Linked DNA regions of Tribolium castaneum. The protein of the gene in region 2 purifies or fractionates together with the protein of the main gene of each other region. This does not show direct contact. Links are inferred from orthologs where the notes say so. Each region holds a gene or a part of one and is shown on either strand. Other genes may lie near its edges. The genes, in order: negative elongation factor A, Nelf-E and TH1.

Region 1 (10,295 bases), on a different chromosome or scaffold from region 2:
TTATCATTTTTTCCGCTGAAACGAATATCACAATTTCAAACTTTGTCGCTAAAAACACTCCCAACTCCGAACAACCCGAATATTTTTTGCCATAACAGCCCGAAATATCATTTCGCTTTTAGCATCGGGATAATTTGTTACGTAAATATCAAAACGGGTCATCGAGCTGCTTTTTGTTCCCCATTTCACACTTTTTACTCTCGTTTCATTTATTTTTTAGTTTTCTCCGGGACGAGTGTGCTTTATCTGGGAATGCAGTTTGTTGCGTCTACACCAAACAATGCCGTCCCCAGAGACACATATTCCATTTATGTTTTGTTCCCGTGCACATTAAAGTCGACACTGTTTACATTTTTATCGCGTTAATAAATTACCGAAAAAATAAGTAAACGGCTTACGACAACCTTCAAATTTATTGGCGCTAAAATGGAAAATCCATCTTAATGGAAAATTTAGGTTTTACACGGAATGTAATTATGCTTGTGTGTCCCCATGGGAGACCAACCGACGGTTTGTGACGCAACTTCAAATGAGAAAATGGAGGTTTCTTGTGGTGTTGTGTGGATTTGAAGTGGAAGAATAGCTGTTATTAGTTTAAAAGTTGGATTTTTTTCAGGAATATGAAGTCTTTTTTCCTGGTTTTACCGAAAGCGATTTTTTTTAATGTTTTTAAAAATTTGAAACAACTGGACGAGCTACAAGTTTACAGGTGTATCAGAAATATGTGTGATAATTTTAACAGTTAACAGCTAGCAGAGCTCCATAATTAATTTTTATTTTTAATTTAATTGTGTACAAAAATAAAAGTACCGAGCTATTTTCGTTGTGATAGAAACGGACAATTTAAACAATTTTAAACAACAATAAAGATTGTTGCTATGAATACAAACTAATTATTAAACACTGACCGTCTCGTTTACACACGAGAAAGGAAAAAAATAGTGAAAATAACAAATAAGAATTTTACAAAATGTTATAAAGTTGTTGTAGGTACTTGATGAGTTTTATTACATCGTAAAATTAATTTTTTTCGTTACACACAAAATTTGTAACAATTATAATAATTATTAACTAATTTTCCAATTCTATACTCCTTCGCCGCTGACCAGAAAAAAGCCCACACGAAAAATGCGCACAAGAAAAAAGCTCCCAAAAAAGCCCACAAACATAAAAACCCGCAAAGAAAAAAATTCACACAGAAAAATGCCCACAAAGAAAAAAGTCCACGTCGAAAAAACCTCATATGGAAAAAAGCCCACACGAAAAAAGCTCATACAGAATAATTCCCACAAAGAAAAAACCCCACATGAAAGGAAACCTACACCAAAAAAAGCCCACACGGATAAAAACTCACGTTCTTTTGAAAGCCCACTAGTTCCTATTCGTAAATAAACTATTTGTTTGTCCTATTCCACTTCCATAACTGATTAAAAAAATCATTTTATGGCATCTTTTTGTGCACTTTTGATAATATAGGTTGCGGTTTTCAACACTCCAAGACCTGCAGAAATCGTAAAGAAGAGGGATAATTTTATCAGTTATTGTTATGAACATTTTTTTTTGTTTCCGCTTTCGTATAGAGATTGCATCAATTATCTAAATTCTGTTAAAATGATCATTGTTAGAAAAGTATTTGTGTTTGCTATAGCCGGGTATAGCAATTCGAATATCGCAGCAATTTTCTCGAAAACTTAGTTATTTTGAAAAAAAAAAAAACTAAACCGTTTCAAATGAGTCGATTGTAATATTTGCGGGGTGATGCAGTTGTAAACGTTTTATCATTTAACGCTCTCGAGGTACCTTTATCGAATTTTTTTTTAATTTAAGGCCTTTTTAGCGAAATAACAAGCTAATTTTTATCATTCTGGTTCAGCGGTTCTTAAAATTTAGGTCCAAAACAATTTTTTGAAAAAACTCTGATGTACTTTACTTTACGATGCGTTTTCCTATTTCCCATTCAACTTCAAATTTTTGCTAAATCATTCCCTAACTTACGGGATAATTTGTTGATAGGTATTTATAATTTGCGTGAATAAGATTTCAACAAATTATGGCAAAAAATGACAAATGCGGAGAGATCACTCAGTATAGGTTTAGGTACCGTTTAAGCTATACGCCGAAAAGCTGAAATCAATTTAAAAAAAAATTTAATTTATAAGTAAAACAAAAAAATTACAACATAAAATTAAGTTTCTTTGTCTAAAAAAAAATTGAATAGTTACACTTTTGAATATGTTAATTTACTTTTTCCTTGAATAGTAACAAAAACTGATTCTCAAATTATAAAATATTTTTATTGTTATCCGAATAATTATAAATTTATAAATCTATCCACGATTAGGTACAGAGATTTCTTTTCCAGTGAGTTAATTTTAGCGTGAGCTTTTTTCTTGTGAGTTTTTTTCTTTGTGGGTGTTATTCTGTGTGGACTGTTTTTCTGTCTGGAGTTGTTTCCATATGAGGTATCTTTTAAGTGCGATTATTTCTATGTGAGTTTTTTCCGTGAGCTTTTTTCTGTGTGAGCATTATCTTGTGCGCTTTTTTCTTTTGCGCAATTCTTGCACAAAACACTCAAGCGGATGTTTCAGAATGTCCAATTTTTTTTTAGCAACACAGTATTAATTAATTTTAATTGTAAGGAATTGTAGAAAAATTTTCAAAAAATCACATAAAGAGAAAAATAAAGTATTTAATAGCAAACGATGACTATGGTGTGATTACTAAAGAAAAAAATTAAACAAGTTTTTGTCATACGAACTTTGGATGCCGTTTATCCATGAGATGACTCGACACACTTGAATCACCCTGTAGTTTTTTTATGTTACAAAATTTTGGGATTTGGGTTGGTTTCATTGTATTTCGTTCGTTTTCCAAACGATTAAAAAAAAGTAAACATGCGCGTAGCTTTTTATTCAGTTATTTACAAATTAGAATATTTACAAAATATGTACAACAAACTTAACGTTCAGTTTATCAAACTGTTTACCTAACATAACGTTACATTCGATTTTTTTAAACTTTAAAAATCGTAAATAAATATTTCTTTCTTACGAAGCATAATAAAAAACAATTCCTATGTTAAATAAATAACAAAAAAATTTTCTTAATTCCCAATAACAGCAGGAGCTGGTGTATTTTGTGGCATCTGATTAACAACATTATCAATATGTTTGTACTTTTTGATTCTCTTCCACTCTCCATTATTATAATTCATCTGGAAATGAGTCTCTGCGACCATAGTCAGGTAAGTATCGTCAGGTTGCAACACATTTTCCTGATCCTCTGACAACTTAATAGTGACAATATTCCCCAAATGAGGACAGGGATTATCCCTTGACCCTGCCATAAAACCCAAAATCAACGCCTTCTCGGGCCTTGTCACTTTGTTCGCAGTTCGGAACATATCCTGAGCTTCCAACATTTGCTCCCTCTGGTGAAAAAAAAAAACAAAAAATAGAATTTTTTAACATATACTCGTAATCAAAAACCCACCGTTAATGCTAAGCCCCGCCTCTGCAAAGCATTCGACGTCGTCTGTGGCTGGATCCTGATATGCGTCACAGTGGGCGTGGCCTGAGTCGTCCTCTGCGCAATCGCAATATTTGACACTTGGCCGACAGCCTTCACCGATTGGTCGGTCAAAATCGTCCTCTGCCCACTTGGCGTTGTTGCCAATAGGGGTGGTACAGGCCGCATAGTTGGCAACTGTGTCGCCGCCACTGTTGCCAGTTTCACGGTCGGCGTTGCCACCTGCGCTGTCGTAACCGTAGTTACCGGTGCTGTTACCGCAGTTGTTAAAATGGAAGACGCTGCTGGAAAAAAATTAATAGGAACAACAAACTTCAAATTCGAATAATTACTGGTTGGTGCGAGGATGGGCTGTGGCGTGGGCGGCGCGTAGGCTGGGGTGGAGCTTAAACCGGCTGCATAATCGGGAGTGGTGGTCGTGCCTGAAACAGGTGGGGGGCTTTGCAAGGCAGCATTTTCGGTGTTTTTCTTCGCGTCTTCAATTTCTTGCATCTTCTTTCGTTTTTTAGCCGCAGCGTAGCCAAGTGGTTGATCGGCTATGTCCAAGAGTTTGACTCCGCCTTCTTTGCGTCCGGCTGGAGGGCGGGCCAATGGGGGCCGATTGTTTATATTGTTGTTTAATGCACCGGAGCGGAAGCCCGATGTCGGGACTCTACTCGGGATTCCTTTCAGGGGTGCTACAAGAAATAATGCTACCAACTGTCAAATAAACAACGATCATGCATACTTGTATCGGTCATTTTGCGCGGCATGCCTCTCGAGCGCACTGGAATGACCGGAGCTGATGATTTTTTGAGATTTGAGGCCGCATCTGAAGATTTTTGTAATAAATCTGCTCGTAAAATTGCCGATTTTTGTTTCTTTTTGATGGTGAAGTGTTTAGTAGGCTCTGGTTTATGGCCAACCTGACAAAAAAAAGTTGTGATTGTGACAAGTGACACATGTCAGAGACTTACGACAGAGACAAGGGCTGATTTGTTTAAATAGTGGCACTCCATGGGTAGCATAACATTCTCAGCTTGTTTGCGAACCAGTTTCCGAAGATCTGTAACTAAATCGGTGAAAATGGGTCTCACTTCGTCCAAGTCGGAAATTTCTGTGTTTAGGGACCCCGTTGAAGGGTACGTTTTTAAAGCCTCAGCTAACATCGCGACCCACAATTCCGAATCGGCGACGGCCACATCGAGGATTTGCTCCAGCTCTAACTTCCACTAAAAACAAAGTAGCAAGTGAGTACGCCATAACCTCAAACAACTTTATTAGACGACAAAGTTAAAAGGGGCGCAACCAAGGGGTTAATAACGACAAGTGGAAACCGTGGGGGCTTTTATTTGTAAACATACTTCTTCGAGGTTCCTGCGCGGGATGTGAAAAAAACTCAACAAAAGCTTTAATTTCACTTGGGTTTGAAGATCGGGAAAACAGTCTTTGATGTTGCGTAACACTTCGGCGTTCAATTGCGAGCATATTGAGCCCCCCGTCCAGGAATCGTTCGAAATTCCGAGTTTATTGTGTAACCATAAAGACGTATCGCTGTCACGCACATTCGCCATTTTGCGTTTGGAACGGTGCTGCCAACAACCAGCTGACTAGCACTCAAAGCACTACAACAATACAGCGGGAAATTTAAACACTCATTTAGTTTCATACTTTTATTAACAGTTTATAACACAGGAAAATTATAATTGCTGTTCATTTGTTTGGCTAGTGTTAGCAGGCAAACGAAATAATTCCGATTTTGCGGATTCACATAACAATTAATCTGTTCGTTGGTATCGTCCATGATTACGGAATGTTGATTAACTTCGGGTAGTTGTAACAAACTTGCCGTACTTCTTACATAATCGGCGACTCGAGCCCTCGACGCTGGGTCCATTTCGACCACACACTCCTCCTCACACTTTTGTTTCATAATCCTGAAGGATAGATAAGTCGGGTCGTTATCACTCGCAACGACTTGAATTTGCCCCAAACTAATTATCCGTTTCACATTATCATCATCAAGATTCACAATAATCAAAGCATCGGGTGCCAAAACCAACCCAATTCCTTTGAACTCAGAATCGTTAAACATCGTTGCTTCAGTCGCAAAAAGCACATTTTTATAAGTCAGCGAGCTTAGTAACTTCCATTCGTATTTTAACATTGAATTTGAATCTAACAGATTCAGGTTTTTGACCAGGTCACTCCTAGGTTGCGGTAGGGGATTCCACCCGGCCCCTTGCAATAATCCTACAATTTTAATTTTTTTAAGTCAGTTTTGTAAATTTACGATTATTATACCTTGACCAGTCAACGCCACCAGTTCGGCAGCTCCACTCAAAGGCTTAGTTAAGACTCCCACTAGCCCTAATCCGACACCCGCTGCGAGTGACCTGGGTGATGCCCCATCGGCCATTATGCTCTGAAGCGGGTGGTGGGCGATGCCTCCAACAGCCCCCAAAAGACTGATACCGAGTCCCGTCAAGCCCTAACAGAATTTTTTTGTAATAGGTTGTAACCAGCTCAGTAATCAGTTAGTCACATACATCAAATAAGAATTGATAACTTATTAAGTAATTACATAATTACTTATTTAAAACCTGTGCAAAATGGTAAAAAATATAAAATTTTGAAATGAAATTTAAAATTTCTAAAAAGCTTTCTGTAACAAGACATTCTTTGATCTATTTTAAACTGTATTCCATTAGTCTATTACAATGGAATGGTAATATCCACTATTTGTGCACCCAACAAGGTGAGAATAAATAAAACAACCTCTTCGGTAAAGACTGATGAATGAGTGATGTACTGATGATGAGCTCAGAACGCAACTTTAATAATTTATTAAAATAATAACTTGTTTAAACAATACTATTGAATTAGTAATCTTTAACCAAAAAATGGTCGCAGTAGACTTCCATTTAAAACAATTAAATTTTGCATAACTCATAAACGGTATCGGTAAAATTAAAAGGAATTTATAAAAAAAATATTCTTCACAAATGATCACATTTTTAACAGTCTTAATAATACAAATTATTTTTTGTATTCATGCAAAAACGCTTGTTTTATCCATACTTTTGCCCAGCACTGTATGTAGACTAGCACTGTTCAACTTTTCGTACTGGTATACCTACTATTATTTACGAATTAGTTAAAAGAACGTAATTTTTTGACCATTTCGAAAAAATTCTTGAAATAAATAGTTACAGGCTCACAATAAACAAATAAGAAAATAAAAAGTAAATATTACGAAAAAATCGAGAAAATTAAGCTTCTAGAAGACTGTAAATAATATTTATCTCAATACAGGTTCTTAACTTATACGCATAGATAACTTAGGGAATGATAGTGTACACATTTGTTCCACCACAGTTAAAGAAGTCTAATTATTTTAAAAACAAACAAATACTAAACAATACTTTTCGAGCATTGAAACCTAATAAAAAGAATGAAGATATAAAAAAGGCAGATGCATATTTACTGATGTGTGATTAGATTAGATATCCTTTACTTTTATAGAACAGTATATATAATAACGAATACTGAAAAAAAATTCTAATAAAAATTTTTATTACCAAGATATTGCGTAATTTTACACTGCTAAACATTTAAATTTGAAGTAGTACTAATACCAATTAATTATTTTGACTAAGTTCCTAATAGTCCTGGTACAATGGTACTTCCTTAAATTGACTTTCGACAGAGGTAAGGAAAAAAAGTTACGATCTCGGGTATGATAAAAAATCACTTAAATGCAAAATAAAAAATGGAAACAATTTTTCTTTACGGAGATAAACCCGTTAATTTGAAAGAAATTAAAACATTAAAAAATAGTGACAAAATCAAAACCTTGTAAAATTTCTGTTTTTTTTTAATATATTTTTTTTCAAATTATTAATTTATGTATCCTCGTAAAGAAAAAAATAGCTTCATTTTCACTTATTTTGCATTTAATTCATTATTGAACATAACAATTTTATTAATCACCTATGTCGAATGCTACATGAAGGCACTAGGAGGCAGTATGTTATACCGAACTTAATTATAATCTTGGTATTATTTCAAATTTAAATGTTTAGTAGTGTACAATAACATATATTTCGGTAATAAAATTTTTTCACCATTGTAACGCTTTTTGCATCAGGATTCCATACTCATTTATTTAATGCCAAAAATTTGGGCCTCCCCTGAAGACTAACTAAAGAAAATACCTGCATAAATCCTTGCGTCACCCCTTGTGGTTTCTGCCTCCTCTGTTCCTCCGTCCGTCTCAAATGCTCCTCATCCAGAGTCAATCTATCCAAATTCCTTGCAACACTCGACGCCAACTTCGTCACAGATTGCAGCGTCCCAGCTGTCACGTGTTTCATAAGAGAGGCCGAGCCATGAGTCACACCAGTTAGAAAAGCCCAAGGGCCCTGTATAAGCCCCCGATAAGGCAAATTGATAAAGTCGCGAAGCCCTATACCCATCGCTCGCGCAAGTCCACTGGGACTCCCAAGCAGTTCGAGCGAACTGACGACCCAACCAGCCCCAAAAATGGCCCCCGAGAGGTAGTGCATGGTCATTGCATGCCCCAATCGATAGGGGGTTGTCAACAGGCGGCGTCTTTCAAACCGGGCAAACTGGAGAGGGGACTGGTCCAGGGCTATGTACATTTTGAGGGAGCAATGGACGGATAAAAGCAGCGACAAGGGCTCCACTGTGATGGTTTTGAGACTCAACGGTTTGGCGATTACTAAAGAGTTCCAAAAAACCAACTCGGGGACTCTAACTGAGACGCTTTTGGACGTTGTGCGGGACTCTGGTTTTGCGCCCACGGCCAGTCGCATCGGAAACAATTGGGTGAAATATTCCATCAGTTTATTGATGTACAAATCCTCGACGTAGATCGAAAGCGAATTTAATTTCACCTTCACTTCTTTCACTCCAGTCACGTTTTTCTTGCGCAAATCATCAAACCAAGTCTCCACCACCATATCCAAAATCAACACACTGTCGGTGTTCCTGATCAGTTCTTTCGCATTTTTTTCCAAAACGTTGGCACCACTTTTCGGTTTTTGGTCCTGGCTTACTACGACCACAGGAAAATCGAACGATTCCTTCGAATATAACTCATTATCGAACTGGATGTCTAATACAGAAAGTGAAACTTTCAAATCGTCACTTTGACGAAGCTCAACGCCCACATCGTCAAAACTAAAACTCGCAACTCCTTCTTTTTCCGAATCATTGCCATGATCTGCGAGAAACACAAGACTGAAGGATTTAACGAATGCGAAAACTTCGATCGAATCCCAGTTATTCTGCAAGGTTGGTTTGAACAATGACTGGTAGAGCGATAATTTTGGGAGAATTTTTGCCGCATTTTGGAAATTATTATCAGCGACAATATCCTGGAAAATTGCTATTTATAAATGAAGCGATTCAAAAAGACCGTACTTTGTGCCGATTATCATATTTTCCGAGCACTGTCTCCATTTCATGCCGCGACAAGCGCCCCCTGATGTCAATCGCGTTGATTTCGACTCCACTTACCGACTCAATGGACAACAAGGTGGTGTAAGACGTGACTTTAACCACCAATTTGACGTCGCCAAAGTTCGGTATTTTGACGAATTGTTCCGAATCGTTGACTATGCTGACGGCACTTGACCACTCGAAATGATCGCTTTCGGCTTAAAAAATTTTTTTAGTTTCAATTTTCAATAAAAATGTGTCGTTACTTTTGGGTCCTATTGCGAATACTATTTTCTCGCTGAAGCAGGTCTGGGGTAATTCGGGGAATTTTTCCGAAACGAAAGGCATTGTGTAGTAGACGCTGGAGCCACACTCGAGTTTTGAGAACCATTTGAAATGTCTCGATTCTGGTATTGCGGCTCCGCCTTCGCCGATCGCTTGGCCGCAATACAAATTTACGGAACTTTTATTTTCGATGAGGGTCTGAGGGGAATCGTCGTGGAATAATGAAAGGTAAATCTGGCCTTTGCGTTCTTGAGAAGTCAACACGAGAGGGATCTGTGTCAAAAATTCATTATTTTAGGGATTATTTCGTTTCATAAATGTGATGGAATGATAAAAATAAAAATTGTATACAGATAATAATCTGCTTAACAAGAAAAGTGTGACAATTACGAAATATAATAAAGTAAATACAAGAAGCCCCAACACGACATTTAAAAATTATATTTTCTTCACCGACGGCGACGTGACATTTATGCATTTTTTTCGAGGTCCGTTAAGGGCCCAAAAAAACATCAGTTGGTCCAATTTTAAAATCTTTTATTAAAAAGCTTTTTTCATTTTCTATTGACATATTTCAAATATTAAAATATTGAGCAATTCGTTTCACCCAATCTTCATCTCTAACACTTGCAAATTCTTCTTCGGTTAAATAAACAAAGTTTAAAAAAAAAACAAATATAAAAAATATAAACTGAGTTTATATTCTCACCTGAGGATGACCACTTTGTGGTTTTGAAACGCGTAGTGTTTTTAAATAAAGGTTTGGTGTGTCGGGTTTTTTTTTAAACTTTGTTTATTTCATCATATATATATTAAATAAATAATTATTGATTAATTATTATTAATAATTAATATTAATATAGGAATTATTTATTAATAATTATTAAATATTAAATTTTTTGCCACACTACCTTTAATGGTTGCCTAAATCATTTTTCTTCTTATTGAATTTACTTGGCGTTTAATCTTTATTTTGCATTAATTTGTCCAGTTTAAAATCTTACGTTGTTTTATCAAATATGTAACTTTAATTACCA
Region 2 (9,836 bases):
GATAAGAGATAGCAACAATTTCAAGTTGAGCGCTACTACACACTACAACGTCTGAACAAATAAGAAAATTGCTTGTACAATAATGCGTGAAAATTATGACCAATACGCGCACAAATTACTCCAAAAATCTCCGATTTGTAATACATATAGTAATAAAAGCGATAATGTTAATTATGTTGTCTGTTCAATATCGTGTGCAATATCGAAATTTAAACAATGTGGTGATTAGTAAACAAATACTGATGACTCCTATAAACATCTGATGTTAAGCAATGGACGAGTTGAAATTTTCCCAAAATATTATGTGTGGTGATTGTGAAGGGTAATTGGCGTAATTATTATATAAAGAGAGTGGTAATTCGAGGCTTCCTTTTGCATTGACTTGCACTCTAGTAACTAATAAATTAAGTAATTATTAAGGTCAAGTGTTGTGTGAGATGAATTGTAATATCGATTTTTTCGCAATGATAAGGAATCATCATTCATCGGCTTATCTGTAACTGGGGTCTTAAAATGTGTAAAAAATAAATCAAGTGGAAGTTTTATCGATAGAGTCGATTTTAAAATAATAATGGGGCAAACAAATTTGTTTCCAACACTGTCACACAAAATATAATAAATAGTGCTTTCGAATTTTTGTCTATTTTTTTTTTAATTTATAATGTTTTTTTCCCGAAAATTATTTCATAACCTGTGAAATGAACGATTTTATGGCTCGTTTTTGAGAAATTCGGTTAATTGGAAAGGTTGTGACTAAGAAACAGTCGAAAATCGACGTCAAATATTGATAAATCCAGAGAACACAAATTTCAAATCGCGCGCCTGTCGGTCATACGTCAACGGCGTCAACCAATGAGACGTCGTGCCATGATGTCACGCATTAGAGTGGTGGGGACGCATTTTCACGTCAGAGCGTCCTCAAGTTTTTTGATTTTGTGGTGTGTACAAAAGTGTTGTGTGTGTGTTTTGTGCCAAAATGACTGAAATCCAAGGTTTTTATTGGAAATCTGACGAGGTGACGTCATCGGTTGCAGTCTGGAACCGAATTCTGAGAAATGCTCGAGAACGCGCCAAAAGCAAGAGGGACGCTACCTCAGGTCAGTGTTTTTCGTCATGTATTTTATCGAAAAACGAAATAATCTTGAAATGTTTTGCTAATACCGAGCACACAAAACACCAAATAGTGTCTAAAGTGTTTTATTTTTGTTTTTCATCGAGGTTTTAAAAAGGGGTAGAAAAGTACAAAGTAGGACCTGGAAACGCGTTATTTTGCTTTGTGTCACTGGAAAACTTTTTAAATCGGATTTTTTTCGTAAAATAAGGCGGAAAATTCCAGGTTGGAGCATTTTTTCGGTTGTTTGAGAAGGTTTTTCACAGAGAAACTCACAAGTTCTCGCTCACACAAAAGTTTGGTGAGGCTACTTTCCTTTGTTTTTATGAATTGAGAATATTTTTTAACAAAAAAACTCACTAAGCTTTGAAATAAAAATACACAAAAACATTACGTTATATATTTATTTATAAAAGCTGCACATTAGTTAACTTAATTGATTTAATAATACACTGTGATGGTGCGTTAATATAATACGATAAATAAATAAAACCCTTCGTCATTTAATGAGTTTGGTAAAATTTTCGCACTCCTTTTGACACTTCTGGCAGTTCATCACCGAATTCCTGCAATAAAAAATTGTGCCAAAAATTCACAAAAAAACTCACTCCTTACTTAATAATTTTTAGTAAATTATCGGCCTCTAACGTCTTTGAATGCAACGAATCTTGCAACGAGTCAATAATTGCGTCTTTTTCCCTCAATTGCACCTTCAAATCATTGATTGTCTCCTCTAGAGCTTCAAACATTGCCTAAAAAAAATTATTACAAGAAGAGACAACACACAAAAAATGACCTACTCTTGACTCCTCATTCGTTTCGGAATAAATCGGCGGTTCATTCAGACAGAAAAAATCCTGTATTTCCTGTGATGTAATAAGTGACGGTTCAGCAAGTATTGCGTTAACCAGAGTTTGCAAACCGCTGACTCTTTCTTCAAGAAATAAGGGATCGAAATTGTTCTTCAACCACCTTTTTCGGGGGAGGAGCTGGACAATGTGGGTGTGGGAATTGCGTATTCTATTGCACAGCCTTACAAAGTCGGTGTAACGCCGGAAAACGTACCAGCAATCGCCACTCACTTTATTTTCAATGCGCAATTTGTAAACCTACATTTTTTTGATAAATTCGTTGTTTTATTCCACGTTAAAACGATAAAATGGTATTTTATTTTATTACCGTAAAACGCGCTCTTTCTTCCATAATCTCATACCCAACTATCGGAATTTGTATATTGTTGAGATTGTCTCCGTTGTATGAGAAAAAATTGGCGTTTTCTTCAGGAATCGAATTTTCTTCAACTAGTGTTGAATTGGAATCATTGGAAGTCGTGGTGGAATATTGGAAGTTGCGATATCTGTCCACTAATTAATTTCCAACTCTTTGAAGTAAAATAACTCACCTTAAAGGTTCTGATAGGTAGTCTTCAGAATCAGTCGTGATAGCCTCCTCAGCGGTCTCACAATCTTCATTATTGTTCCCTTGAAGTGGGTGCCCCATTTCTTGCACTTTAAGTTGGCTTAACTTATCGCTAATCTCTGATTTTTGCTGATCCATTGTTTAAAAATAGTCATAACCTCAAAACTGCCACGATTAATTAACACCAACTAACTGTACAAATCACTCATTGTGAAATAATTCATTTAATTAAGTATTTAGAGCACAAACGTAAATAATGGAGACAACAAACTGAATGACTTAACCTTAAAAAACAGCTGTTTTTTGCGAATCGAGGTTAAGTAAGGGGGGCGGGACTTAAGTCAAGTTATCAAACGGACAATTTATTTAAAAATAATAGAAAAACAGTCGTACAACACGAAAATTTTGTACAATTTGGTGTCCCGTCACTTGGTTTTTTGGTGGTTTTGGAATTGTTCCGTTATGCTCACTTGGAGTGCTTGTAAGGTGTTTGATTTCACGCACTTGCGGATTTTTTCGAAAAATCGCAAATAGTGGTACACATTGTGTCTGGAAAATTATTATTATTATTAATCATAATTATATTTTTTCTTCTAATTAAAATATTCACATCATCACGAGGATTGGCCCCAGGAGCTCATGTACTGATAGCAAGTGGTGTATGTATGCCCTTGAATATTTTGTGCAAGACGTGCAATTGCAACCAGTTAGAATTGGCTGAAAATCGTCCAAATATCTGAAAAAAATTGACACTTTTTGTGAGAAAATACACCAAGCATTCAATTAAATTTCGATAAAGTGGGCTGTGATTTTGGAATTAAGTTGGCAACAATAATGTCAATTCTGGTGATATGCTGCATTTGGTTCATTTTCTTGAACAAAACTTCATAAAAAAGTAATACAAAAAAACCCAAAATGTTGTCAAAAATAACGTTATTTTGCGCGAAAATCACTTAAATTGTAACGAAATTGTTTTTTTCCAGCTGTATATTAGCTGTTTCGACTTAGCACAAGAATTCGTTAAAAATAAAGGGAACCACAAATTTTATCGAAAAAAACTCGTTTTTTCAACCCTTTAACTAAATTTTGAACAAAATTCTCTCTTTTCCTTTGTGAGTTATTGTTACTAAAGCCTGAAAAATCATCATTGCCAACATAATGTTAGAACCAATTTAATCAGAAATTTAACTGAACAAAAAGTACCTACTTTGCGTCTCTTAGATTTATTTCATACGTGTCTGTCTGATCTGTTGGTTCTATCGCAAAAGTCATTGCTGCTGATCTTTCAGTGAGAATATGACAATATGAGGAGTCAAACAAATCAATCCCCATTTCGACCAAATTAATAACATTTACGGGATTCCAACAGCCTTGAATGACCCGTAGTTTATCAGTGGGTAATTTATTCTAAAAAAAAATTACCATAAAATTCGAAATAATGAAGCGGTTGTTAAATACCAAAATATTTTTCACCACGGGCTCAATTTCAGCAAATTCCAAAAACTCGGTCTCGGGACCATTATTATGAAGTCCATCTATTAAAAACCCACCTACATCTTTGACATCTGCTAGAATCGATTTGAGAAACTTTTCCCGAGCTAATTGTTTATAACCCCCCACTACAGGAGCAATCACAAACGAATTGGCTAAAGTTTGCGATTTTCGGTGTCTCTCCAAACACTCCTTGTAGAAACTGACTGTGTTACTGAGTGATTTTGAAATGCGTTTTTCCGAACTGCTGATATTGGTGTCTCCATCAGAGAGCAAGAAATAAATGTCAGGCTTGAAAGACTCCACCACGTCCATGTAGCTTTTAGCGTCGTAATAAACCTTGCCGTTTTTCGTCCAAATGGGCACTTTTAACGTGGAATTGTGCCCCTGTTTTGTGATATTGCAAGGGTCTTGAAGAGTGAGACAAGTCAGACTGTCTTTACTACCAATGAAATTGGAAATGGTCCCTTCGTAATACTGCATCGCCTCTTTAAACGTGTGCATCCCAGCTAAAGGGATTTGCAAGATCTGGGGGTCCCTACTGACCAGTTTAAACACCTCATGTGTAATGTGAGGGATTTGACCGCCCTAAATTAAATTTTAAGGACAGTTAACCAAATAGGGGACTCACCTGTGTGTGGAGCATTACTGCAGGAGTCTTGATCGAGACAGAAGGCTTGGCATCGATCTCTGAAAGAGTCCCCAAACGTTGGGCACACTTTGAGACAGATTCCACGTAAAATTTCATCGTTAATTTACACTAAATGCACTCGGAAAAGTGTGAAAAAGCAGTCTATACAACTAAAATCACTTCCAGAATTAGGTTTTGACAAATAAAGCAAACATGACATTCAAAAATCCGAAAAAAGTGGACACATGCCGGCCTAACCTTACTTTTGCATGCCTCACAAATGGGAAAAAATAGATGACAGGGCGCAAAAACACACTCATTTACGTTTTAAAAACGAACTTCACATGATTTCATTCATTAATATACCAAAACTTTGCCAGTTTTTTCATTATTTAATTGTGGTTGTTTTGTAGTTTTTTTGGCATTTTTTGTGTGGCAACGTGTGACATATCGAAATTTACAGTGGCCCAGTACAGTATTGCGTGAATTAAAAAAATAACTAGCGTATTAAATTTTGGACATTGAGTTAGCTGACTGGAATTGGTTATAAAGTGAATAGTTTATCTAAATTAAACAATTAAAATTAATTGAATTATGAACTAGTACTGTGATTTTCGACCTTTTGCACATTAAACCGCTGTTAGTGTTGATGTTTATTCATCGAACTGTCATTCAGTTTGCAAATTGGACAAGTTTTTTTTTGATTAAACGATGGTTTACATTCATTTTCCGGCAAATTTCACTGAAGAGGAGCTCATGCTCCAAGCCAAATACCAGAAACTTAAGAAAAAGGTAAGTGGAACGGTGTAAACAACCTTTTCTAACTTCCTCTCAGAAAAAGGCTTTGCAAGCCCTGAAAGCCCCCAAACCCGAGCCCGAAAAGCCCATTACGCCTAAACGGCCAGCGGAGGCTCGAGATGCTCGTGAGGTTGCGAAAAAACTTATCAAATCCGGTGCCATTCCGGCCATTTCCAAACAACAAAAACAGCCAGAACAGGGCTTTAAACGGCCTAGAGGCTTGGAAAGAAAACTGATTTCGGATAAAATTGTGAGTGGTTATCAGCCTTTTTCGGCTGTGCAGATGGACGATGGGCCTGATAACCCCGAAAATAAGCCGCCAAGGATTAAGAATTTGTATGATACTTTTGCTAATGCGCGTGATAGGGAAGAGAGGGGTTTGACTGAGAAACAGAGGGAAAAGCCGGATAAACCCAGGCAAGGGAATACGATTTATGTGTCAGGGTATAAGATAACGGAGGAGTTTTTGAAGAAGCATTTTTCAACGATTGGAAATATTGTGAATATTTCAATGGAGATTGAGAAAAAGTATGAGGGGGTACAATTTTTATGTGGGGTTTTACATGTTTGGGTTTTAGTCGCGGGTTTGTCACGTTTGATAAGGTGGAAGCCGCCGAACGGGCCATAGCTGAGGTAGGTTTTTATTTGTGATTTTTTGGTCATTGTTTACAATAGTTTTTTATTGAGTTACAAAAGAGAAAACACGAAAAAATTAAAAAAGAATTTTGTGTTTGTCTCAAAAATGTGCTTAAAGACGTGAAGAAGGTGAAGAACAGTATTTTCGGCTTAATTTGCTTGTTTTTCTTACATTTTGTAAATAATTGTGTTTCTGGATAACAAACGAGCTAGTCTTAGAAAAAAAAGGCAAGAATAATGTAATCATCGCAAAAACTGTAAGATTTTTGCTTTAAAAGTGTCTTTAAATTATTGAAAACGGTAAAAATAACAGCAACTTTGACAAAATTTTGTGTTTTTACTGATTGAATTTTCGGCACAATTTCACAAACTTTCGGGAGGAAAACTGTGATTTTGGTTTAGAAATTGTTACATTTATTAATTGGCGGAAAACTATAAAAGTAACACCATATTCGAACTAAATCGGCGATTTTTTGACGTATTATTTACTCGGTCATTAATTAAGAAATATAAAATTCTGCGTCTTAATTTTCTTGTTTATTTGAAAGCAACAGGTGATTGTGACATTAATATTCAATTTTTTTGGTGTATTATTGGTTATTTTATTTTATTTCTTATTTGCAAATTTATTAACTGAAAAATTAAAAGATGGATGGGAGTATGGTTTCGGGGATTCAGCTCAAAGTCACTCTAGCGAGACGACAGCCCCAAATAGAGCCAATAAATGACGCATCATCGAGCGCAGCGTGGGCCACTCTAGGTAAAAAAAGCAACAAAATAAAAACTATAAACTTGATACAACATTTTTATAGCGTCAAGTCATTCTCAAAAAGGCAATCACAGGGATAAGAGAAATTTAGTGTCGTATGATGATATGTTTGACTAAACTTACGTAAGGTGATTTATTAAGAAAAAACCCGCTTAATTATAATAGTATTAACAATAAAAAATTGAATAATAGTTTGACTAAAAATTTATTTACATAACAAATCCATTGAAAAATCCCTTACATGTCCCTCGGCGGATTAAAGTACTCCCAGTGATGATGATGCACCGTTTTCCCATCACCCGCTAATAAAATCAATCCCGCAATTAAAACCAACAAAATCACCATCATTACATGCAAATCCTGTTGCCCATCCGCATTCCGTATCAAATTATCCCGAATATGCGCAATCAGTCTTTTAATCGTGCAATTAGCTGCCGTTCCGCACGCCCTCACCAATTGCCCCGTCAGCTGGGGAATGGAAGGGGGCTCAGGCGAGCGCACACGTCGTCGTGCCGGGGGCGGCGTCTCCTCCGAACTCGACCTAGAAACGGGGGTTTTACGATGACGCCGCCTTCGATAAGGCGCCATAGGAATGTCCTCATCCACGAATTGTTGCGCTCGCAAAGCGTAGAAACTCGCAGGGGGCTGTGAAGAAGGGGGCATGTAGATGGGGTCAGGGGGACGCGGAGGCGGCGTTTCCTCAATCGAGACGCTTCTCACCGGGGGCTCTGGGGGGCGCTCTGAAACGGTAAGGGGGTGATCAGTCGGGGAATCAACGACTGAAAGGGTAGGGGGGTCGTCTAGAACTAGTGATGATTTGCGAGGGGGTCGCTGGGGGGGAACGTCAGTTACTTGTTCAATCGGAGTTTTTTTTTGCTCGGGTGGTTCACTTGGTGATGCTGATTCTTCATGTGGTGGTGCTGGTGGTTGGAGCTTGTCGAGGAGTTGCTGGATGAGACCTGGAGCAGAGAATGTTACATTACAATTACATGGTTAATTGTAACACTGACCTGGAGGTAGCTCGATTTCGCCCACTTTAAGGGCCCCACTTTTGGAGCTCAGATCATTGGTTTGGATGCTTCCACTGTCGATCTCTGATACTACAATTCTGCTGGCTAATAGTTCGTTCACGTTTAGTCGATCGATATCCAAATCGCTCACTTGTAATTTCTGAGCTTTCAAAACTTCAACTTCGGTGTTTGAATCAGGTTGGACTATAACAGTGCGTTCTGTAACTGTCGGTGGAGGATCCTTCAGTTTGGAAAATTCTTCCGGGATTTCGGAAGTTTCTTCATCTTCTTCCTCAACCGGAATCGTCCGTTCTTTGGGTTTATCAATCCGGGTAAACTCATGGTCTGGTAGGATTTTAGCCCCGTTTAAAGGCTCCACAACCAGACTACCATGAGTGATGGTTTCTTCTTCATATGTGTAGTTTGTTGGAGTTATCAACCGTATCTCAGTAGTTTGAGTCGAAGCTTCCGTTTCCTCTACAACTTCTTTTTGTTCTTCACTTTCCTCAACCGCGATATTTTCCTGACTTGTGATGTCGTGCAAAGGCTTGTTGGTTTTATTCCGAGGGGGCCTTGGAGGTGCTGGCAAAGGCCGGTCTTTCATTTTCTGGATCACAACCCCTGATTGTAAATCCCTGTTTGGTTCCTCATCAATTTCAATATACTGTGTTATATCGATATTTTCCTTCTCCTCATCGGTCATATTCGGTACAGGGTGTTTCCGTCTCGGTGGTCTACTGGGCCCCAAAGTACTATAATTCCTCAAGGGTCGTACTGGTGGTTCCTCCGAGACTGGTCTAGGCACAGTGAAAAATTTCTGTTCGGATTGAATCGAACGTTTCCGACGTGGGGGAGTTTTTGGTGGTGGTAATGGTGGTTCCCTTCTTATGTTCTTATCAACGATTGCGTAACCCATATGGTCTCGGAAATCCTGGACACATGTTTCTTCAACACACGGTTGTTCTTCAGTCAAGGATTCGGCTCGTGATCGGGTTCTGGAGCGAGATCTTGCAGGTCGGGAAGGGGGTTCGTCTTGAATTGACTTGGAGCTGGAACGGGAGAGGGTTCGTGAGGGGCGAATGGGGGGTTCCTCCGGGACTGGGATTATGTACTCGTGTTCGGTTTTGTAAACTTCAGTCTGGAAGAAATTGTTAAAATTTTAATTATTTTAAATGAGACTTACATCCTGGTCCTGGTCCTGGTCAAAATCCCCAAGGATTGATTCGTGTTCCGAGTAATTTAGACTTTTTAAACTGCGGTGTTTTCGTGGCGGAGCCATTGGTTGTTTTTCTTCTTCTTTAAATTCTTCGTCTTCACTTTCATATCCGGTGTAAGGGTCGCTGATTTTGATTTCCGGTTGTTCTTTTCCTTCCATTTGCTCATTCTCGTACATCATGACTCGATTTTCGTCTTCAACAGCTATGGTTTCTTGATACGGTACAATTTCTTCCTTTTTCTTGTTCCTTTTGCTTCTTCGTTTTGGTCTTGAAGGGGGTGCTTCAAGTTCAAGTTCCGAGTCCTGGTCGAAGGATAATTGTTCCTGTGACACGTGAGGTGTTTTCTTCCGTTTAGGTTTCTTCACAACTTTTCGTTTCGTAGTCTCGGGGAGTGAAGTATTCGAAGCGCGAGTTTCATACGAGTAAGGTTCAGTTTGCAAGTCATTTAGAGCATTATTAGGGGATTTGAAAGCTTCCCGGATTTCGGAGCTTAAATACATCCCGACTTCGATATTATCCTGTGAGATTCCCTTCTGTCGGAGGAAAAACTCATCTGAATCAATTTCTTCCAAAACACCTCGTCGATGTATCCCTAGGGAACTTTCCGACGAGTGAATGTCTTTACTCGTGTTGGTGTCAAAACTCTCATGTGGTTGTGGCTTATCAATGGGTGAGTCTAAATCAGTGACTTGTTGGTTGGGTTCGGGATGGAAGCTCCCATGGTCCCATCGGCTGTTGTAATTGTGACTAAAGG
Region 3 (10,526 bases), about 6.3 Mb from region 2:
AATAAAGTTCAATGGTCATAATAAAAAAATGCAAACACTTCTACGTGAAACATTGTTTCAGTATACCTTTCATTCTATTATGTTTACTACTCATAGTTTTTTCTATTAACTTGATGGCATCTTGAGCTTTCTGTCTGAGGCTACGTTTGTTTGAATCGCCCTTTATAAAGTCTAACTCTTCTGTAACAATCCAGGGAATGAAAATGACTGGCTCCCTGGGTCCTATAACAAGTGTGATAAATATTTATCCATTGTTACACATTTCTTTACCTTTAACAGCTAATGTAACAATGTTAGCAATTATATTCAGCTCTGATAAGAATATATTCGTGTCAACCACAATATAAAACTGACAAGAACTCGTAATTTGTGAATTTAAAGTATTATCACTTGTGCTTTTGGACTCCTCAATATCAGTCTAAAAAGACAATTAACTAGAATATTAAACTGAATAATTAAATCAAGAGAGTATACAGGACACCATTCCATATCCTCTTCTGAAACAACTGCTGTCTGTTGAAAGCCAACAGCAAATGGATTTGGAGATTCAGTGGTAAACACATTCGTTTGTGTTAGAAACTCTTCTTTAAAAATGAAAGGAGTTCCAGGTTCACTGTTCGAACATTCCCCTGAACTCGAGGCACTTTCCTTAATAAACAGTTTTGTAGACACTTCATGTTGCACTGAATCAGTTGGTCGTTTCCGCACACAATTCTTGTCTTTAAATTTTGGTACAGATTGAGCAGATTTTGAAACTTCTTCATTTAAGCTAGTCCTAAGCCTCTTTAACCTTTCATTAGCTATGTTCTTTTTCGGCGTAACACTAATGGTACGTTTCGTTCCATGTTTTAAATGACTATCCTCTTGAACAATTTTTTCCGGAAAAATTTTAGGATTCCTCTCATTTTTTCGTTTGGCTACGAGGACTTTTCGTTTGTCTGACATTTTAATTTTTAGCAAAAAAAACTTCTTTTAATTCATTTTCAAATAACAATTTTCTGTTTTCTCGCAAATCAGCTGACAACAACAACAAAACGCCATCTTAACTTGATCACGTGATATGTACAATGCACCCGAATTCGACCTGTTGTTAAGATCGACTTAACCGAATGTAGGTGAAACTGAAACTTTTTTACAAGTAACCAGTTAACGCCAGTTACTAATTACAACTCCCACACATACTAAAAAGAACTTGGGTTTTTGTAAACTGGTGTCAAATAATCTTAAATCTGCTTTATTTAGATTTACATTGGAAAGGCACGTGGGGGAAAGAACCAAGAGTTGGTAATTCTTGGGGAATTCGTGCGAGTCGACAATCTCGCCGACGCGCTAGACCTCATGGTTTCTAATTGTTGCCGGTTTTTATCGTTAATATTAAAAATTGGTGGGTTTTCATATAAATTGTTGTAATACAAAGTGAAAAATGTTGGTCTTATTTGAGACAGCGGCAGGTTACGCGCTGTTTAAGGTAATTCTGCAGTAAAGTTGTTGACAAACTTAACCTCAAATTTTCCATGCTTTCAGCTTCTGGATGAAAGCAAATTAAAAGAAGTTAACAATTTGTACCATGAATTTGATTCACCCGAGTCGGCAGGAAAAATGTACGACCTGTCCTAGTTTCAAAATGCAAACTTATTAGTAAAATTGTTTTAGTGTGAAGCTGAAACATTTCGAGAAGTTCAATGATACCACTGAAGCCCTGGCTGCCACGACTGCAGCCGTCGAGGGCAAAGTCTCGAAAAGCTTGAAGAAGGTGCTGAAGAAGCACATCGACCAAGAATTGCAGGACAAGCTGCTTGTGGCCGACGCCAAGTTAGGGTCTGCCATTAAAGAGAAGTTCAATTTACAATGCGTTTCGAATACAGCTGTCCAGGAGCTGATGCGGTGCATTCGGTCGCAATTGGACAGTTTGATAACGGGGTTACCTAAGAAGGAAATGACCGCGATGGCGTTAGGTTTAGCTCATTCCTTATCACGGTACAAGTTAAAATTCTCGCCTGATAAAATTGATACAATGATAGTCCAAGCGGTTTCGTTGCTTGATGACCTCGATAAAGAACTCAACAACTACATAATGAGGTGCCGCGAATGGTACGGTTGGCACTTTCCCGAGCTTGGGAAAATAATCACTGATAACGTTGCGTTCGTCAAAACTGTTAAAATCATCGGAACGCGTGATAACACCGCCAGTTCTGACCTCTCCGACATTCTCCCCGAAGAAATTGAGGAGAAAGTCAAGGAGGCAGCTGAAATATCAATGGGTACTGAGATATCCGACGACGATATTTTAAACATTCAGAACTTGTGCGACCAAGTTGTAGAAATTTCCAATTATCGCACCCAGTTGTACGACTATTTGAAGGCCCGTATGATGGCGATGGCCCCAAACCTGACAACGTTGGTTGGGGATTTGGTGGGCGCTCGTTTGATTTCGCACGCTGGGTCTTTGATAAACTTGGCCAAACATCCGGCCTCCACGGTGCAGATTTTGGGGGCTGAGAAGGCGCTATTCCGAGCCCTCAAGACCAAGAAAGACACCCCGAAGTACGGGTTGATCTACCACGCCCAGTTAGTGGGGCAAAGTAGCACCAAAAACAAGGGGAAAATGTCTCGAATGTTGGCGGCTAAAGCAGCCCTCGCAACTCGAGTCGATGCTCTAGGCGAAGACGGGAATTTCACGCTTGGGGCGGAGCACAAAGCCAAGTTGGAAGCACGTCTTAGAATTTTGGAAGAGGGGAATTTGAGGAGAATTAGCGGGACGGCGAAAGCCAAGGCCAAGTTTGAGAAATATCAAGGGGTTTCGGAAGTTCAGCAGTATCCTGCTGCTGCCGACTCGACGTTACCTTCGACTTCGAAGAGGAAGAGGTCAGAGTCGGAGCAAGTGAAGGAGGAGTTGAACACGACTCAGGAGACTCCCAAGCAGAAGAAGAAAAAGGTCAAGACGGATGAGACCAATGACAGTATCAAGGAGGAGGATGAGGACAGTGGTGAGGGCCAGAAGAAGAAAAAGAAGAAGAAGAAGGCGAAAGAGGAAGCGGAGGAAGAGGTGGAAGCGGAAGTTAAGGAAGAACCTGAGGTGACGCCTGGGAAGAAAAAGAAGAAGAAGAAGTCCGAGAGCGAAGCTCCGCCTGAAGTTGTTGAAGAGCCAACAAGTGGAAAAAAGAAAAAGAAGAAGAAGAGCATTTCCAAGGAAGATGAATAATTTAGCGGAAGGTTTTTTATTTTTTACAATAATAGACATTCTTATTATTAAGGTGCTGTTATACAACAGCGGTGTAATTTGCTTTGCAATAGACTAAAAACAAACAATAAGAAATTGATTTACCACGTTTTCCCACTCACCGATAAATTCAGACACGGGGTCGTTCTCCCCATCTCCTCTCATTGTTCCCGTAATTTCGTCATTTTCAACCATTGGCATAAATAAGTGGACGAATTCGGAGCTATAAGGGGGCCCGATGGTCTCCAAAACCTACAAAAATTGCATTTTCCGGTCATTTTTAACAAAGTAACTTACTTCCGTTACAAAGTAACGAATCAGGGATATGTCCGTGTCGCCTTTTTGCCAACACTGTTTTATGTACTTTACAACGGGTACCACACATCCAGCACATAGCAAATTTACCATTCTGTCAAGGACCATTTTGCGCATTTCAAGCTAACAAAAAAAAAACTGAAAAATATCGTAAAAAAATTGATAACTTACTTGGACTAAAATTTCCAGTTCGTCTTGCTTGGATTCAAACAACCTGATTAGTAAGTCGAGTACTTGATTATGGAGAAGAGGGTGACAAGTAACTACTTCATCCAAGAGCGCCAAATGAATTGGAGTGTGTTCTGTTGACAATTTAAAGTAACTTGCTTCGGTAACAGTGCACTCAACCCAACGGATAATTCCAACAGAAACGACTGGATACCTAAAAAAATAAATATAAGTTTCTTAGTTGACAATGTTTTTGATAATGGTGATTTACCGACATTTTATTTACAAAATTTATTCAGTTTTTATTAAAATATCATCTTAGAAACTTACCTGAGACACTGATACAGCGTTGCAAGTTCTGCCATTAGCTCTGAACTCCCTTTATTGGTATTACAAATATTGTGGACCGTTTCAATTGAATGAATAGTCGCTTGAAGTTCATCTTTATTGACCACTCTTTTTTGCCCTTTTTTGGCTTGCATTTCATAGACACTTGCTGCATAAGCTAACAAATGGATATATTTGGGCTTGTGGTCGGGGTTGAGTTTTACTCCAGGTTTAAACAAGGCATCAATCAATAATTCTGAAATTGTGAATTACCATATATTCAGAATCGTTAAAAAACAAACCCAGAAATTGCGGAGTTCTGATTAAATCAATGGGAGGAGGGTCTGGAGCGTTGTAATTTCTGTACAGAACTGTAATGTCGGCTGGATTAAGTGTATTTTTTGAAAGCATTGATGTCAAGGCCTGGCAGGCCAGAGGGTATGCAGAGGCGCCGTTTAACGCCATTGTGATTGGAGTTACGTCATGGCCACTGAAAATGGATAAATAATTTTTGTGTTTACTAGAAAAAATTATACTTTTTTTGGGCGCATTTCGTGATTTCTTGAGACAGTCGCTTCATGCTACTGCCACCCTTGGATTCTCGAGCTAACACGTGGATAATCACTTGACTGTAAACGTATGTGTGCTGGCCGTGGCACACCATTTTCTAGAAAAATAGATTTTTTTTCTTAGTGAATTCAAGTGTTAAATTGCATAATTTACTGCACACTCCTTGCTGGTATTTTGCCAGTCTTCTGGATTGGTCAAAAAACTAGCAATTGAAGTTTTGAGTACTCTAGAGAAGACTTCCAACTGTTGAGCTGCCGTTGAAATGCTTGTGATTTCAGCTTGGAAACCGGCGTCGGAAATAAGCTGCAATTACCACATTTACTCATGTTACACTTAAGGCAATTTTTACGAACCTTAATTGTGAAATTTAACATTAAGCAGTCTGGATACTCCTCAGCTAATCTATAAATCAGTGACCGCCACGTGGGATGTTCAATTAGCTGTGTCAGCCAAGCTGGCGTCTCACCCTCTTCTGTGAAAATCGTGTCAGCTTTTTTGGGATCAAATGTTTTCAAAATCATCTCTTTTAAGTGGTTCTCCACCATTGCTTGAACCGAAGTTACATTGACTCCACCTGTGATTAGCCATTCTGCTATCAAGTTAGCCATCTGGGCTACGGCGGTGTAGTTCTGTGATAATTCTTCAATCACTTGCAAGGGGTTTCCTCCAGACTGGAAATACCGTTTCAGCTGGGAGAAAATTCCCGGTTCCATTATGTAGTCTGAGGTCGAAAATTTCTCCGCGCATTCCTTAAGGACCTGCTCAGGGTTTTCCGTTTCATCGCCCGCATCTGACTAAAAATACGAGTTGTTGAAAGATTCAAGATTTCAATAAATGCTCACGTCATTATCGAGTCGATCAACGGTATCCCAATTTCTCTCGTCGTATTCTTCATCCATTGCAAGTTAATTACATATAACTGGGGCAGTTATATAAATTAAAACAATAAAAAAGTCGCGTCCTTAAACATAACATAACCTTCGAAATTTGACGTTACTACCAACTAGTAGTTATTTCGCGAAGTGTACGTTGGCGGCTTTGACCCACAAAGATTTGAAAATTATAAAGCAATTCCCAAATTTTCCGTAACTAGAATTTCATGGTACAATTTTATTAAATCCGGGACACATTCAAAGGTCCAAAATTGAATTAGTTGACTTTATTCACCAAATAATAAATTAATAAAACAGTACAATATTGTTTGGGAATTTTATAAACTGGATTGGCTAACATGGTTGACAGAACTTGACATGTTATGAAATTAAAGGTTATGAGAATCAAATTGTAATTTTTTGTAATTATTTTTTTAGTAATATAAACCGAAATGCACATAACGGTGCAATTTGGGTGAGAATTGTTTAATTTTTTGCTAAAACTGTAGTATAATTTAATATTTCAGGGGTGGTGCTGAATTGCTTTTTGATAACAAAAAGAGTCACGATGTAACATTACCTGAAAAAGACAAGGAATGTAAGGATAATAAGGATAATTCACTTTTTTACTGACTTTTAATCAAAGCATTTATCGCAAATAGTCTTTTATTTATCATTTTATCAATTTTTACTACACCTGATTTGATTAGCTTATTTTAAAGAAATGAAACACATTTGTGGATATCTTTTATACTTTATTGCTATTATGCTAACTGCTTAATATGCTTAACTTATATTGCAGGGATAATTAAGGATTTACTTATTTGGATTAAAGATAATTTATTGAAAGAGCGACCAGAACTGTTTTTGCAAGATGAGTCTGTGTAAGTATACCTACTAAATTTATTTTAGCTAAATTCAGACTAAATTATAAAATGTATTTTATTCTTTGGTGAATTATGAGCAGTAAGATTAAATAATACGTGTTTTTTTAATTTTCTTAATTATTTACATGCAGGATTCAGAAACCAGTCAGTATAACTCAAATTAGCAAAAAAATGGGATAATAAGCATTCTTAAAATTTACTTTATAAAAAAAGGTGAAAATCAGAATCGTTATTGAAGGACTCGCTTCTGTAAAAGTTAACAATGAGTGATTCCTGTCCCACAAAAGTTACTTGACGAAAAGTGAAATAAATACACAGATTGGCTTCTGAGCCCTCCATGTGATGAATACAGTATTTCATTTTTTGCTATCGTTGACAAATGAATTTGTTCCGAGTTTCATATTTCCCTTTTTTCCACGAAATTACAAAATCTGCTCTATTTTTATAATACTATCCTTGTTTCGATGCATGTATGCAGCAATATGATCCGCATAGGTAATTGATTCAGCATCTATTTACTCACGCCGCGTTGATTAGTTGCTCTTGTATAGCTTGTTACGTTCCGGCGCTTAAAAATGCGCTCACTCTTTTATTATTTTTTGTAGGCGACCTGGAATACTCGTCTTAATCAATGACGCAGATTGGGAATTGATGGTAAATTGCAGTTAGGGAATACAAATTTTTATCTTTATTTACATTTTAGGACACTGTTAACTATGTCATTCGGGAAAATGATAGGATATTGTTTATTTCCACATTACACGGGGGTTAATTTTATTGTATCTGTTTTTTTTTAAATAAAAGATTTGTTTATGATGTGTTTTTCTGCTTCCACTCTTTACTGTCATGACACCTTGGCCAATGACTCCTCTTGTTTTTTTTACTTACGATAGTTGGGTCGATTAATTCTATCTTTGTCAAAACATGGTTAAAAGGAAATGAGAATTTTTCTTCTATTGATAGATTATTATATGTATTGACCTGCATTTTTTGCCAAATTCGGGCAGTTTTTTTTTAATTATTGTCCGCTGGTTATGCTATGACAATCTGACAAAGCAAGATCTTGAGGAAGTTTCCAGAAACTAAAGAAAAGGCATATATTACTGAAAAAATAAGAAACTATTTTTTTTACATTTCACTATTATTGTGCTTACACTGTGCTAGAAACAGAAAAATTTTTTTTTGGAAACGCTTAAAATGTAGACTTTTACTTGGGCGCTCCGCATTCACCACTGGTTGAGTGACAATAAAGTAGCAGTTGTCTATGTCGCGGTTTTGGTGAGGGCATTAACAGTTCTCCATAATATTATCGGAGCAGCGGCGTCGTGTAAATAGGCTCGTAAATCGATGTGGTCAGATAGTTTACACCCAGTGTGGCCCTTATATGTAAATTATCGCTAGAGATCACATAACAAGATACACAGTGCATCACACAATAGTTTGTTGGTGTGGTGTTAACCCTCTTTCTATTCACCGGCGGAGCGCAATATTCGGAAATAATGATTTTATTTAAAATTTATCGCTCTGATCAGATATTGTAAGAGCCGAGAGCACGTAATATTATTACCTTTGTGGTACTTTCTGAATATCTAAGTGCAGTGTCAGCAGAAATAAGAAATCTTTACTATCTCATTGTTCACGATTCTACCGTAGATTTTACTTATGGATTATTGTCGTCCCAACCATTTCGAATATCTGATCTTTGCATAACTTCCCGCAACGTCTGGATAAATTAGCATAAAGTCGATGAGCCATCGAGAATTATGCGAAAAACCCGTTTTGTTTCCCTAACGATACATTATAATTGAGTTCGAGTTTAATTATCATAATGATGGAAACTTTACGCATAAAATCATTATTGTTATAAGTACACGGAGCGTTGTATTTAATGGCGAAAGAAGTGGCAATTATTTGAGAAAATTGGGGAAATTGGTCATTAAATTTCCATAAGTAGGAGGGAACGATTTCCTAAAAGAAATATACTAAATTAAGGTTAAGTTTTATGATTTTGCCGCTGTAAAGGATAAGGCGGACAGGACCATCGCAGGATAATGATGTCGTTTATATGGAGATCCTGTGCGTAGATGATGCTCAACCCGGTTGACTGCAGCACTGAGGTGTGTCGAGACATATGTAATGTCTTACCATACACTTTTTGAATCCAGTTCAAACAAATATTGACGAAATTGGGAATAAATTCTGATTTCGCGCTATTTACGATGCTACCTTTCCGACATTTGTACGTTTCTGCTTTCGGCTGTGTAATAAAACTGACATTAATCCGAAAATCATTTGAATGTGTTTCATTTTTAACCGCTGTAATCTCCTTTAGTCGATATTTACACCGGCTATTATACCTACTTTTAATACAATTTATTCGCTTTTTTTATTTTAAACCTGTTCATCCAAATTCGTATTTATGCAATTCAAAAATGTGCCTGTGTTTATGAGAAAAATTTACGTGCTATATCGCTCGCACGTTACGTTTCCGTGGGGTTCGGATTATGGGTTAATTTTGGAAAAGAGGGACTGTTATCCAGAGACCAGTCGTTTGCCCATACAATTACAGTTTTATTTGAAATTGTGAGTACCTTCGGGGAGTTTTAAAGTCAACACCTACGCAATGACTGCCCCAGCACGTTCAGATGCCTATTTTGTCGCCCGTGTTCACACTCTATTCACAAAAGCCACACAAGTATAGTCTTTCGTTCATTAATTTTAATACTTTAACCAATATTATGCTGTATCAAAATTAATAAACATTTACTTTAGAATTTTTTTATGTTGTAATATCATTTCAACAATCAGATCCTTTGAGCAATTGCTGCAAGAATTTTAATAATTAAATTCGGTAAATATTTGCCCGGCGCATCCACCATAATTCACACCTTGAACAAAGTTTTATTTAAATGTTATGGTTAGAGTATTCTATTTAACACCAATTTTTGTAAACTAGTCTAAACTATTTGTGCTAAAATTTAATTGGAATAAGGCGAAAATAACAATTTATTAAAGTGTATGAGTTGTTGGTGGTTGTTGGTGTCGAGCTTTCGTTAATTCGGCAAGTTCAAGTGTGGCGATCGCGCTGGGTGTCAGAAACACATAATCAGGGTTTTATTGAATGACTTTGGGACCGTAAAAACTTTTCTCAACAAGTTCGAGGGCAGTCATTGAATATTAGTTATCAAGTTAGACAGTCGAAATCGCTTATGGATTAGACGAGCGAACTTTTAGATGAAACAATATCCGCGTTGTCTGAAGCAGTTGAGTCTCGGTTTCTTTCTCCACATATCGGGATGCTATGCCGTCCTGTGCACGTCCTTCAAAACTAATAATGGAACTCGGCTCGCTAGAAAAGAAACTTCACAAAGTTGTACAAGATATTACAGCATCTTGTATAATGGTTGTCAACCGTTTATTACGAATCTGCGACCACACATTGTCTATCTGCATCGTTATTCTAAGTGCAATCGTCGCCGGAGAAAAGATCGGGACTAAGCTTCGGGAATAAAGGACAGACACTGGCATATTGCGGACGACAGCTAAGACAAGCTATTATTCCTTCGTTAGGATTTCAGACTAAACTCACGTTAGTTTTTACAGCGTCTAGTTATTGAACGTTTGTCAGCACGAATTATAAAAATTTATTTCCTTCATCTCCCGAGACGTTGACGAAATATATCTTCTGCTTCCGTTAAGGTGTTCTTAGCATTTTTTACCGACCCCGCAAAAGTGTTACATTAGCATTTGATAAATGTTCCCCTAGAAAATCTAAGAGATTTCCCTCTAAATGCCTCTATTAATTTTTTATGGTGCAAAGTGTCTTCGTAACGCTTTGATAATTTCAAGATTTGTGCCAGTCAAATTCAGGTTTGCGAAACGAATGTCTAGTACTGAATTATTTATTGAAGTATTTCCTAAACGCAGACTAATTATTTCAAATAAAAAATTGCTATTGATTTTTTACTCGTATTACTGAATTTTAGTGATGAAACTTTCTAAAGGAACTGTTTTGTTGAATAAGTCTGGTACATATTTTTGTATAAATTCAGAAATTGTCTGATGGAGACCTAAAAGCTGCTTATGTGTCTGTGTAATTATGTGGGAAATCACGTAATGTGTGCGGAAAAAATTTACGACGTAATATAATATAGAAATTTGTAAAGT

The links.
Region 1: the proteins of Nelf-E (region 2) and negative elongation factor A purify together in Homo sapiens (affinity purification with mass spectrometry; 9 studies listed by BioGRID and IntAct, counting the BioPlex papers as one, with this or other methods). This does not show direct contact. The link is inferred for Tribolium castaneum from reciprocal best matches to the Homo sapiens genes NELFE and NELFA.
Region 3: the proteins of Nelf-E (region 2) and TH1 purify together in Homo sapiens (affinity purification with mass spectrometry; 9 studies listed by BioGRID and IntAct, counting the BioPlex papers as one, with this or other methods). This does not show direct contact. The link is inferred for Tribolium castaneum from reciprocal best matches to the Homo sapiens genes NELFE and NELFCD.

What each region holds. Positions count from the first base shown.
Region 1 is NC_087395.1:19,622,880-19,633,174, reverse strand, and holds negative elongation factor A, read right to left. Parts: upstream 5,126-10,295; 5' UTR 5,082-5,125; coding exon 4,872-5,081; intron 4,740-4,871; coding exon 4,485-4,739; intron 4,434-4,484; coding exon 4,256-4,433; intron 4,206-4,255; coding exon 3,861-4,205; intron 3,813-3,860; coding exon 3,493-3,812; intron 3,431-3,492; coding exon 3,104-3,430; 3' UTR 2,896-3,103; downstream 1-2,895. Other genes in the region: intermembrane lipid transfer protein VPS13B, read right to left, coding at 5,192-5,760, 5,812-5,998, 7,725-8,909, 8,956-9,191, 9,240-9,531. UniProt on the Homo sapiens protein: Essential component of the NELF complex, a complex that negatively regulates the elongation of transcription by RNA polymerase II.
Region 2 is NC_087394.1:37,089,633-37,099,468, reverse strand, and holds Nelf-E (negative elongation factor E), read left to right. Parts: upstream 1-5,283; 5' UTR 5,284-5,363; coding exon 5,364-5,444; intron 5,445-5,487; coding exon 5,488-5,978; intron 5,979-6,028; coding exon 6,029-6,083; intron 6,084-6,734; coding exon 6,735-6,846; intron 6,847-6,898; coding exon 6,899-6,972; 3' UTR 6,973-7,046; downstream 7,047-9,836. Other genes in the region: Snx16 (sorting nexin-16), read right to left, coding at 1,611-1,677, 1,727-1,863, 1,912-2,220, 2,291-2,468, 2,514-2,668; queuine tRNA-ribosyltransferase accessory subunit 2, read right to left, coding at 2,956-3,079, 3,141-3,266, 3,738-3,937, 3,989-4,609, 4,653-4,769; titin, read right to left, coding at 7,093-7,814, 7,866-9,003, 9,049-9,836. UniProt on the Homo sapiens protein: Essential component of the NELF complex, a complex that negatively regulates the elongation of transcription by RNA polymerase II.
Region 3 is NC_087394.1:30,826,835-30,837,360, forward strand, and holds TH1 (negative elongation factor D), read right to left. Parts: upstream 5,612-10,526; 5' UTR 5,500-5,611; coding exon 5,443-5,499; intron 5,395-5,442; coding exon 4,954-5,394; intron 4,904-4,953; coding exon 4,754-4,903; intron 4,698-4,753; coding exon 4,567-4,697; intron 4,521-4,566; coding exon 4,333-4,520; intron 4,287-4,332; coding exon 4,034-4,286; intron 3,918-4,033; coding exon 3,707-3,917; intron 3,659-3,706; coding exon 3,518-3,658; intron 3,473-3,517; coding exon 3,343-3,472; intron 3,317-3,342; exon of another isoform or gene 3,296-3,316; coding exon 3,261-3,295; 3' UTR 3,203-3,260; downstream 1-3,202. Other genes in the region: transcriptional protein SWT1, read right to left, coding at 67-222, 271-418, 475-945; nop5 (nucleolar protein 58), read left to right, coding at 1,424-1,468, 1,525-1,601, 1,654-3,202; Urm1 (ubiquitin-related modifier 1), read left to right, coding at 5,925-5,947, 6,000-6,070, 6,275-6,356, 6,965-7,013, 7,063-7,131. UniProt on the Homo sapiens protein: Essential component of the NELF complex, a complex that negatively regulates the elongation of transcription by RNA polymerase II.